Linked DNA regions of Caenorhabditis elegans. The protein of the gene in region 1 interacts with the protein of each later gene in a pairwise test. Each region holds a gene or a part of one and is shown in the gene's direction. Other genes may lie near its edges. The genes, in order: F21A9.2, mab-5 and elt-2.

Region 1 (3,757 bases):
TCCTAACTTACGATTTTTAAGAAAAACCCAAAAAATAGTAGGAATTCGGTGAAAAGATGCATTGTAGAACCCTCTCTGAACAATCCTTCTGTCCCGTTTCCGGTTACCTCATATTTTATAGTTTTATCACCGCTTTTCCTTTTTCCTACATTTCCTGAACCTTTTTTTGCTTTTCAGTGCCTCCTGCCACGTCATACATCTGCAATCAGCTGATGTTTTGCAATCAATCGGTGTCGTTTAGTTTTTTTAGTTGAAACTGATAAGAAACCCTATCAGCACATACTCCACTGATTCAATTCAACTGATATGATAATATCACACAGGCTCACTTTCTTTTTCCTCTTCCTCACATTTTCATCAGTAATAATACATTTTTATCACTTTTTTGAGTTTTAATTCGAAAAAAACCGGTGGCACTTTTGAATTTTTGACATTGCCACGTGGCGGCTTTTAGAGAGAACTGTGAGAATACATACTTTCAGTATTTTATTTTTTATAGTATGCACTATCCTGATTTTTCGTGAGTTTTTTTCTGAGAAAAAATTGGCACATGTTTTTGCGTTTCGGAAACTGTCGATAACTTGAATTTTGCATGAAAACCTTGATGGCCGAGATTTTCTCTCTCTCTCTCTCTCTCTCTCTCTCTCTTGGTCATGCAGTAAAACCGTCATGATTATTGTGCGGCCGCGGAAATGAAAGAAAAAACTCGGCCGCCGATTTGCTGCTACACGATCGTGCACGAACATCTTTTGAACTCTGCTTTGGGGTTTTTTCTCTTTCATTTAAAATAATTCCAATTGATATTATATTGATAAAAAAATAAACGCGTATTTAAGCGGAATGGCCTCGCTACGCGCAACCCATTGATTGAAAAAAAAAAACATTAATGAGTAACGCGTGGTGAGACCATTTCGCATAAATACGTGCGCCTTTGAAACCGTAGAAGAAGAAAATAAAGTTCGCTGTATAGCTATAGCGTGTATATAAGTGAATTGCACGGATAGGGCGCGAGAAGGGCGAAGAGAGAGAGAGAGAGAGAGAGAGAGAGAGAGAGAGAGAGAGGCGCCCCCGTCACGCCTCAACCTAGTGAAATGTCTACAGTCGACAACTGGGAACATCCCTACATGTATAGTTAAACTGAATCACAGATGATAAGAGATTGTGGTAACTGATTAAAGATAAAAATTGGGGTAGATAATGATCAGTAAGGAAGACGGCGATAATTGAGATATTCGGTAGGCAAAAGTCAATGTTATAATATTACTTTACTATATAGAGCTTTTAATTTTGAATCAGCCATCTATGAAAATATTCTAGAAACATCTATGTACCTTTAAACTGTTGAAGTGTAAGCACATTTAATACGCAAAAAAATAATTACCGTAGCTCAAATTATGCACTAAGGTAAAAGGCTTCAATCTGACAGTACTTTGGAGATTCTCATAAATAATTAATTTCAAAAACAAAGCAATATTCAGAAGTTTAAAACATTAGATTTTCTCTATTAAAATTTCATATTTTGCTCTTAAAGCACCTGCCAACTCAATGCATCACATTTCACGCGCAATGTTCACTACTCAACTTTTCCTCTCAAATCTCTACTAATCTAATATTCATTCCAACCGGAGATTCAATCTATTTCAGTTGTTCAGTCACTTCATCTGCTCTTCCCAATCTTCCTTTTGTCTTCTTCTTCTTCACCTTATCATCAAAATCTGTGTGACTCGGAGTGCCGGAGCACGCACAACTTGCTCTGCGCCCCGCGTTGTCCCTGAGATCTTATCGCTCACTCGAGCCCATCTTTCTTCGTCGGAAGCCTCTTCTTTCGTTTTCTCATTCGGCCACTTCATTTATATACAATGGATGTAAACCAATCGATTCTGCATAATACAATAGCTAGCGTGAGTTACAGTAGATTTTTTGATTTTTGCTTCAAACCCGGTCTCGACACTACAAATTTTTGTGAAATGCAAAAAGGTGTGCTCTTCTAATAAGTAATGTTATCTTGCACCTTTTTCTGACAACTTGTTGAAATTTGATTTGTTCTTATTTTTATTATCGGTTTTCTTATGAAAGGTGAAATTACAGTACAGTAAACTCAAAAGAATTAAGCGTTGCGAGACCCAAAACGCTACATTTGACAAACAAAAATATTGATTAATGAATAGGGAAATGATGATAAATATAAATTCAAAATTACAAAAATAACGCAAAAAAAATTAGAAAATTAAATTTACACATCGCGTAAAACTTTTTTTGTTGAATATTGAGGACTGAATTATCATCAAAAGTTTGCAGTCAATACGAAAACAAGTTATGACCGCACCAATCGAGTTTAGATGTGGCGATTGTGTTGGACCGTATTCTGTGAGCGGCAATGGACAACTGTTGAGGATTACTGTAAGTTAAAGCATATACTGTAAGTTATAGAAGTTGGCGCAATATCTGTAGATCAAAACTGGATTCTGACTACCGGTGGGTTCTCAAATTTGCGCGTAACTTTTGGCGCATTGAATTCTTCTGATTCGACAGACACAATACACCATATTCCCCGCACAAATGCACCGTAGAACCTCCTTAATTTCCAGCTCTCCAACTTCACCGGTGAATCGATGGGTTTCGAGATGGAATCGAATCCAGTGACGCGGAGAATTCAAGCAGCCCAAGGTCCACTTCTAGCTAATTGTGTCATTATGCAGACAGGTATGCGAGCCACACGACATGGCCTAGAAATTGAAAACTAGGCCACCCAAACGGATATTTTTGCACTCAAAGACAATTCATGTCCTGCCTAGCTTTCACTAATTAGTCCACCAAACGACTTTTTTGAAATTTCAACTTCACCTAGGCCAATGTTTCAGGTCCCGTGTTCACAATTCTTTTCACAAAAAATCTGACGACCGTGGAGCCACTTCGAGCCATTCTTGTCGCTGATATGAACTATCGTCTGGAGCAAGAAAAGTTGGAGAAAAGTGAGCTTTTTTGCTTTTCGAAAAGAACTGCATTTCGAAATTTCAGAACACGAATGTCCACACTGTCACGTGGCAAAATTCAACTCCCTTCACAATTTGAAAGTTCATGAAGATTTGTACTGTAGTAAGAAGAAACTCGGAAATGTAGTTGAAAATGCGGATTCTCGAAAACAACAAAATGTTATTTTGTTGCCAATGGCGTTTCATGACCTCTTTCAGCAGAATCCCTTTCAGGTAACTCAGTTTGAAAGCTAGTTGTTAATTTCAATTGAACTTTTAGGTAGTGGGTCCTGTTACTATTGGACGAAATTCGGCATTAATCAACTCAAATCCTTTGCTCATTCATAACAAGAGAAAATTGGAAATGCCAAACTTTTCAACTTCGAAACTCTCCGTGCAGATTCCTATTATCAATTTGGATGAGAAGTTGGTTTTTTCTTTTGCAACACAGTCTTATTATGCAAGCGCGCTCCACAGATAATTAAAAACGCTCCGCCCCGAAATGTGGGGTCCTGCACGTGGTGTCAAACAGTCTCATTGCACTTTGATCTACAAAAAATGCGGGAATTTTTTTCCGGAAAAAATGTGACGTCAGCATGCTCTTAATCATGCAAAATCAGATGAGATGTCTGCGTCTCTCCTCCCGCCATTTTTTGAAGATCAAAGCGAAATGGGACTTTCTGACTCCATGTGGTCCTGGTAGGAATTGACGGCAAAATCCAAACGTTTTCAACCATTTTTCGACTTTTTTGCTGTTTTTCATGATATGTATTCATGTCAAAATG
Region 2 (3,757 bases), on another chromosome or scaffold:
TGCTACTGCTCCTTTAGAAACAATATGTTTTATGGAAGAAAGTGTGTGTGAAAAAAAGTTGAAAGTGGTAACGAAGGTTTTAAAATTATATTTATGTACTCAAATCACAAATGACTCATTAAACGGTCGGAGTTAAGTTGTTATTTGATTTTCACTCTTTTTTGCATATTTTAATTATTTCTTTTGATTTTTCTATTAACTAGGTACATCTTCGGTAGATGGGTGCACAAATTTTTTAACTTTAATTTTTTCATTTCATGAAATTTTAATTTTCCGATAATTTTCCCATCTCCTCTTTTCACGACTAATCAATTTTTCAGATAGTGAAGGGCTATTATTATTCAACAGATACGTTTTTTAACGTTTTAATATTTTATCGGTTCTAGAAATTTTGATCCTTTTCATTTGATTCTTTTGATTACTTTGTTTCAAGAGTTCCAAATACATTGAACATACAAATGTCATTTTCTAACCTTTCTAATTTTCTGCAAGACTTCAATTTTTTCAAGTTCGGGACTTGAATAATACAGATATAGCATTTTGTTTTAAATTGTAGATTTAAATATATAATATCAAACAAATTTTTTAAAAAACCATATTAATTTTGAAAAAATGACAACTTCTAATCGAATTATTTTTTTAATTTATACTTTTGCTTAATTTCGTAAAATTTTTATTTTCATTCGAAAATTAAATGCCAGAACTCATTATTTGAATCATATTTTCCAATTTTCACAAATCTACAATAAGATGTCATCTCTGTAGGATAAGCCCTCTCAAATGCCATTGTAAATGACATCTAAACCAAATGCTAAATAGAAGCTCTTGACTTGGAATCTTAATAACTAAAATATTATGATTTCTACCATAAAATGCTACTCATCATTGCCTTCCCAGTCTTTTCATGCTCCTCCCAATTTCTCCGATTGGTTTCCCCATTTCCCGTCAACGCCCGGAGACTCCGCCCATTCACACGTTGTTCGCATCGACCAGTCGGCCGCCGGGGGGCCCCACCAATATTTCATCAGGCGCCCTCAACATATTTCAATTCTCCGATTGATTTCTCTTCTTTATATTCGAATATATATCTTAATTAATGCGTCAATGCCCCGTTTATTGGTTTTTAGTTACGGGACTCATTGGATACTTTATAATATTAGGTTCCAAAGAGAAACTGGAAGAGAGAGAGAAGGGCTTAATGTAATGGCATTAAAGATTGATAATGTGACAAATGATAAATTGATACGGTAATATGTAATGGACATTAGTCACTAAAAGATATTTATAGACCAAACCTCATGATTATCAAATAATGAGGAGTACTGTAGGGGTTTTGGAATGCTTATTTGGTTTAATGGAAGTCATTATTACCATTTTTATTGATAAACTTCTAGAGTGAAGGTAAAACAAAATAAATTTCATTAGACAATTTATTTCACTTTAAATATGCTCGATATTTCTTATCAAATGTCTAGCTTTAGAAATAAACATTTTATTTACTTGTAATTGTTTTTATTTTTAGTATTACTGACTTTGTCGAATATGTTGCTTTTAGAAAAAAACGTAATGTTAAAACATTCTGTATAGAAAATATTTCATAATATCAGAAATAGTTTAAATTGCAACTTTTGGTATTAAATAGTTATAGAATAAACGCTTTTAAATTGATCATTTGATAACTTTAAAACAATATTAATCAGTTGTTCACCATATATTATTTTTAACAGTTTTAAAAACTTGCCTTCTACAGCTTAATGTGTCATAATTAATTTTCATATTATTGTGCTTATTGATTTGAAAAATTATCTTATTTAGTGTTCACTGAGATGGGCTTTATACTTATGACGTTGAAACAAACCTGATATATTATTTCCTCAATTATTCAAGTTGTATTCTATATGGCACCATTTTTTCCTCCATCTTGCTCTCATTGCTCTTTCCATGCTCCTTCCGTGCTCCCTACTTTTTCTCTATCTTCCCATATTCTCACCCCTCAATTACCATTTCAATTTCAGAAATCCGCACCTTTTTGCCGTCTTCCATCACGCATCTACTCATCCCCTCAACTCAATCCGTCGGCAAATGAGCATGTATCCTGGATGGACAGGCGACGATTCGTACTGGGCGGGCGCCGGCACAACGGCTTCTTCTCAATCCGCATCATCCGGCACATCTGCTTCAGCATCGTCTAGTGCTGCCGCTGCTGCTGCTGCCAATAATTTGAAAGTGTGTGTTTCAGAGTTTAAATGAAAAATTTTAGGTTTTAGTTGAAATAAGTTCAAATATTTTGGGTCGAAAATTAATTACGGAAAATATGGGGAAAACCCTACAAAAATGAATTTCAATTTTTAAAATACTCTATAGTTTTCAAATTTTCCAGATTAAAAAATTAATAAAAAATTCATTTAAAAATATCAAGAAATATTCACCCTTGTTTTGAAAAACTTTGAAAGTATTTCGCAACGTCCCATTACTAAACTTCAAACTATTTTCAGACCTACGAACTCTACAATCACACCTACATGAACAATATGAAACATATGCTTGCTGCCGGTTGGATGGATAATTCATCAAATCCGTAAGTTTCTTGAAATAAAATTTTTGGAGCGAGAAAAAAATGTTGCGAAATAAAACAAAGTTTGCTGTAAAATTTTAAGATTTTTGCTAAGCGTTCCAGGTTTCACAACTTCCTTTTTAACATTGATTCAAAGAAAAATCAACAAGAAAATTTAAATTTCAGTTTTTGAAAGAAGTTCTCAGTCCGGTTTCCAAAAAATCAATAGTTTCATTGCAACAAAAACATTGAGTTCGTTTTTTTAAAATATGTCTTTCGGAAATGTTTAAAAGATTTCGGATTTCTTTAAAAAAATATGTTCACTCCAATTTTATTTACAAGCACTCTCTAATGCATTTGAATTTCAACATGAATATTTTATCTTTAATATTTTTCCATAATAAAAAAAAAGCAATTTTCGATCATCAAGCCTATAGCCATTTTCAAATGAAAACTCAATTGTTGTAAATTTCTCACAGGTTTTTCATTATCTTATTTTAATTAATGATTGAAGTTTTGAATAAGGGAACTTTGGCAGGATGCGTGCAGAAGAGCAACAAGGCAGGCAAAGGTCGCCTTGAAGACAGGAACAAAAACATATTAAAATGATGAATAAGAGTATTTGGAAATTCGAAATATTTTTTTTCCATATTCAAATAAGCGAATTAACTTACCACAAAATTTAGGATCCAACTTAAAATATTTTCAGATTCGCCTATAACCCACTTCAAGCAACATCTGCAAATTTTGGTGAAACTAGAACTTCAATGCCAGCAATCTCGCAACCAGTATTTCCATGGATGAAGATGGGCGGTTAGTTTACAGTTTCTCATTTTCACTTTTAAACTCGTATTTCCATTTTCACTATTTGATCTCATAAAAATGTCAAAACAAGACAAACATATGGGTCATTCTTCTACATTTTAATGTAATTTCGGATTGGTTGTTACTCGGTAATGACCGCCAAATAGGTGTGAAGATAGACATGCGCGCAAGAGGGGAGGTCCTAGAGAGAGGGGCACACTTTTTCGATTCTTATCTTCAGACTTTCATGGCGGTATAATATTAAAGAGAAAAAGAAGGAGAAAAACAAAAAATATGGCGACAAGTCGGTGTCTCTTTTGGATCCTTTTTCTCTAAATCGCGGCGGGAAAAGGACGGAATTTTTTGATTTATTTATGATACACGCTGGGTGGTTAACGG
Region 3 (3,757 bases), on another chromosome or scaffold:
CGATACGAGGACGCATTCTCAACGATAATGTTGCCATTTTGTCCTGATAATTTTTTTACTGATTGTTTCAGAACACCCATAGTTTTTCTCTATTAAACGTTCATCCTTGACTTCCCCGAGTTTGCTGGCTGAATAGGAAATTTGAAGACAAAAAGGAAAGAATCGGCTCAAACGTCATGCAACTGATAAGGCGACCGTACTTCATTTCAAAAGAAGCTCACTTACTGAGCGCAAACATTGAGAAATGAGAGCAAAAGAAGTGGTTTTACAACATGCTAATGTTTTTAGACCTTGTACCCAATAATATTACTGTAGTATACAGTTCGGAGAGCATATGGTTGAAATCTTGAAATACCAATTTATCACTAGTTTGATTGTGTTATCGATGTATAAAGATATATTTTATCATTTTTGATTATTATCTGATATTGTGGGGTGTGAAGTAATATTATGTGCGTGTGTGGCTGATTATCGAAAAAAACTGAAAATTATCAATTTTTCTACAGGTTATCTTTTTTTGTTTTATTTTTCATTATTGTATTCTTCATACTCCTTATCCTGCCCGAATCACAAAAGTTCCAGACAACTTGAAGGTCGCATCACGTTTTGTTTATAAGAATGTTGAACTGGTCAGCTTTGGAGACAGAACTGTCCTCCAAATGTTGAATATGTTTCCGTAAAACACACTGTGTAACAAAAAGCGTACCCTTTGATCCGGTATTCTTGAAAAAAAACATAGAAGGGCGTACTTTTCATATCTCACAAATATGCGTTTTTTATTTTATAATAATATCATTTATTGATAATTATATGTATTTGTATGTTTTCTTGTCTTTAAAATTATGGTGTGACATCACAGTTTAAAAATTATATGAAAACTAATGAGTGAAAAGTTAAAAATGTATAGTTTGCCGTATTTTCTCCATTAGTATTGTATTCAAAACTTATTTCCAATTGGTGAGCACTATAAACTTTGTAGGGTAATTGAGGTTCAATACTAATTTTTGAATATCTAGCTTTTGACAAATTATTCAAGTTTTGACAATGATGCCTTATCAAATTAAAAAAAATTACCATAAATTCTTGAAAGCTTTTGATTTTGTTTCACTCTGTGAAGGATAGTAATTTATCAACATTTTAACTAGATACATCTGTTCTGGCAATAAATTAAAGCAAGACTATTACTATGTGCAGTATTAATAGCTGCATTGCAACTTGTTTGAAAGTTTCAGTGAAAACGCAAAAACTCAATTTAATTTTCAAGTTTGTTTGCAAAATTGGATATATGTATCCATCAAAAGTCTGATCGCCTGTTTTATCTACTTATTGTCTCCTCAGTTGATTTTTTTGTAGTTATTATAAACGCTACTTTGAAACCAATATTTTCTTCCTCATTCCACTTTTTTCAATTACCAACTACCGTACATGCAATGATGGGCGGACCCGAGTCCCATGTTTGGCTGGAAGTGGGTGGTTGTCTGCGTATATGAGCGACAGAGGTCGGGGCTGAAACTGATAAGAATAGTCGACACTAACGCCATAATCGCTAGCCAGCCATCATGCACACCGAGCTCGGTGTGCACACCATCTTTCTTTTCAAACCAATACGCTTTGTGCCTTCATTGACAATTTTCTTTTTGATAAAATCAGCCTATCTATACTTCCCAATCATTTTTAGTCTTATCGTTGAACAGCTATCGAGGTGCCACTGTTTTCACTGATATCTTCTAAGTTACTATGGCATTAACATCTTTGTGTTCTTATTTTATGGGTTATTTTAATTAATTTTTGCAGTTAATTTTTGGAATGAGCAAGAAAATGTTAATTGTAATATCTTCGTCTGAAAATTGTCTTCAAATAGTTTTAATTTTAAAGGCAGTATTTAAGAAAATACACTTCTCGAAGCATTTTTGAATTTTTGAATTTTTAAACTGCTTGATGTTTTAGGTGCCACTGTTTTCATTGATAAGTTTTGATGTATAAATGCTTGATTTTCTTGGCATTCTAATAAAATAGAAACTAGAAAATAGATTATAGAATGGATAATAACTACAATGATAATGTCAACGGCTGGGCCGAAATGGAACCATCTCAACCAATGGGAGGTCTGCGCCTACCAACTCAGAACATGGATCCACCAGAGCAAAATAATGAGTCACAATTGAGTGAACTACCGAGAAGTAAACAAAACACTGAAATGCTTGTGGATTATAAAATTATAAAATTTCAGTGAAAATTGATAATGATTACGCATCTCCAATTGAACGGCAAAGTGTTATCACAAGTGGCACAAATAACTATGAGCCGAAAGTGGAAACTGTTACATCATGTAAGTGTGAATTCAAGTTATTTGGATTAATTCTTCCTTTTAGTTTTCCATACTGGCATAGACTACTCAAACTTTGGAATGTTGGACCAAACTACCATGCAACCGTTTTATCCTCTTTACAGTGGAATTCCCGTAAACACTCTTGGAACTTTTTCGGGATATACAAACTCGTAAGTCATGTTTTCAAGTTCTTACTTTCATATTCAAACTTTAGCATATACGACAAACCCTCTCTGTACGACCCCAGTATTCCTACCATTAACATCCCTTCTACTTATCCAACTGTGGCTCCAACTTACGAATGCGTCAAATGCTCACAAAGTTGTGGGGCCGGGATGAAGGCAGTAAACGGAGGGTAAGCTAGAAAAATTTCGATGACTCAATAAACTACCGGATTAATATGTGCCTGTACACTGTTTGGAAATAAACTACAACGAATAATTTTCTAGAATGATGTGCGTCAACTGTTCAACACCAAAAACCACGTATTCTCCTCCAGTCGCGTATAGCACTTCTTTGGGACAACCCCCGATTCTGGAAATACCTTCAGAGCAGCCAACTGCTAAAATTGCCAAGCAATCCTCTAAAAAGTCAAGTAGCTCAAATAGGGGGTCAAACGTAAGTTAAAGTTCGTTTGCAACAGTGTACAACAAATCAATACAGGGATCTGCGTCCCGTCGGCAGGGACTTGTGTGCTCCAATTGCAATGGTACCAACACAACTCTCTGGAGAAGAAATGCTGAAGGAGATCCGGTCTGCAAGTGAGTTTTTTTTTTTTTTTTTTTTTTCTAATGGTTTGTTTTTCAGTGCTTGCGGGCTTTACTTCAAACTCCATCACATCCCTCGGCCGACCTCAATGAAGAAAGAAGGTGCTTTACAGACAAGAAAGAGAAAATCAAAAAGCGGAGACTCTTCCACACCATCAACGTCACGGGCCCGAGAAAGGAAGTTTGAGAGAGCCTCTTCTTCGACCGAAAAGGCTCAAAGGTCATCTAACCGGCGTGCGGGAAGTGCAAAAGCAGACCGAGAACTGAGCACTGCTGCCGTCGCAGCTGCGACTGCCACATATGTGTCACATGCCGACTTGTATCCCGTTTCCTCAGCTGCCGTCACCTTGCCAGATCAAACGTACAGTAATTACTATCAATGGAACACTGCCGCTACAGCTGGGTTGATGATGGGTACGTGATCAACTTTTATAAAATGAAAACTACTAACCTTGAAATAGTACTTAAAGTATGGTATTAATGGTGGATAGCGTTAATTACAACAAAAACATAACTTCATAATATTGCATTCAAGCCCTCTAAGATATTCAAGCTTTTCAAAGTTTATTTTATTTCAGTTCCAAACGATCAAAACTACGTGTATGCAGCAACAAACTACCAGACTGGCCTAAGACCTGCCGATGTGAGTATGAAGCTGTTT

Evidence for each region.
Region 2: the proteins of F21A9.2 (region 1) and mab-5 interact in a two-hybrid assay, tested with the Caenorhabditis elegans proteins (one large-scale study listed by BioGRID).
Region 3: the proteins of F21A9.2 (region 1) and elt-2 interact in a two-hybrid assay, tested with the Caenorhabditis elegans proteins (one large-scale study listed by BioGRID).

The regions. Positions count from the first base shown.
Region 1 is NC_003279.8:3,707,323-3,711,079, reverse strand, and holds the start of F21A9.2 (C2H2-type domain-containing protein), read left to right. Parts: upstream 1-1,644; 5' UTR 1,645-1,859; coding exon 1,860-1,901; intron 1,902-2,298; coding exon 2,299-2,400; intron 2,401-2,588; coding exon 2,589-2,703; intron 2,704-2,861; coding exon 2,862-2,972; intron 2,973-3,018; coding exon 3,019-3,206; intron 3,207-3,252; coding exon 3,253-3,398; intron 3,399-3,757. Other genes in the region: F21A9.1 (PRELI/MSF1 domain-containing protein), read right to left, coding at 12-62.
Region 2 is NC_003281.10:7,781,714-7,785,470, reverse strand, and holds the start of mab-5 (Homeobox protein mab-5), read left to right. Parts: upstream 1-2,016; 5' UTR 2,017-2,082; coding exon 2,083-2,226; intron 2,227-2,495; coding exon 2,496-2,578; intron 2,579-3,263; coding exon 3,264-3,367; intron 3,368-3,757. UniProt on the Caenorhabditis elegans protein: Transcription factor that binds to the promoter region of the transcription factor lin-39 to repress its expression in Q neuroblasts and thereby direct left Q neuroblast (QL) daughter cell migration.
Region 3 is NC_003284.9:10,479,203-10,482,959, forward strand, and holds the start of elt-2 (Transcription factor elt-2), read left to right. Parts: upstream 1-2,037; 5' UTR 2,038-2,038; coding exon 2,039-2,180; intron 2,181-2,230; coding exon 2,231-2,329; intron 2,330-2,372; coding exon 2,373-2,499; intron 2,500-2,543; coding exon 2,544-2,684; intron 2,685-2,778; coding exon 2,779-2,947; intron 2,948-2,992; coding exon 2,993-3,090; intron 3,091-3,136; coding exon 3,137-3,510; intron 3,511-3,674; coding exon 3,675-3,739; intron 3,740-3,757. UniProt on the Caenorhabditis elegans protein: Transcriptional activator that binds to the consensus sequence 5'-[AT]GATA[AG]-3'. Predominantly directs the transcription of intestinal genes such as ges-1, cpr-6, pho-1, ftn-1, vit-2 and lev-11, and itself.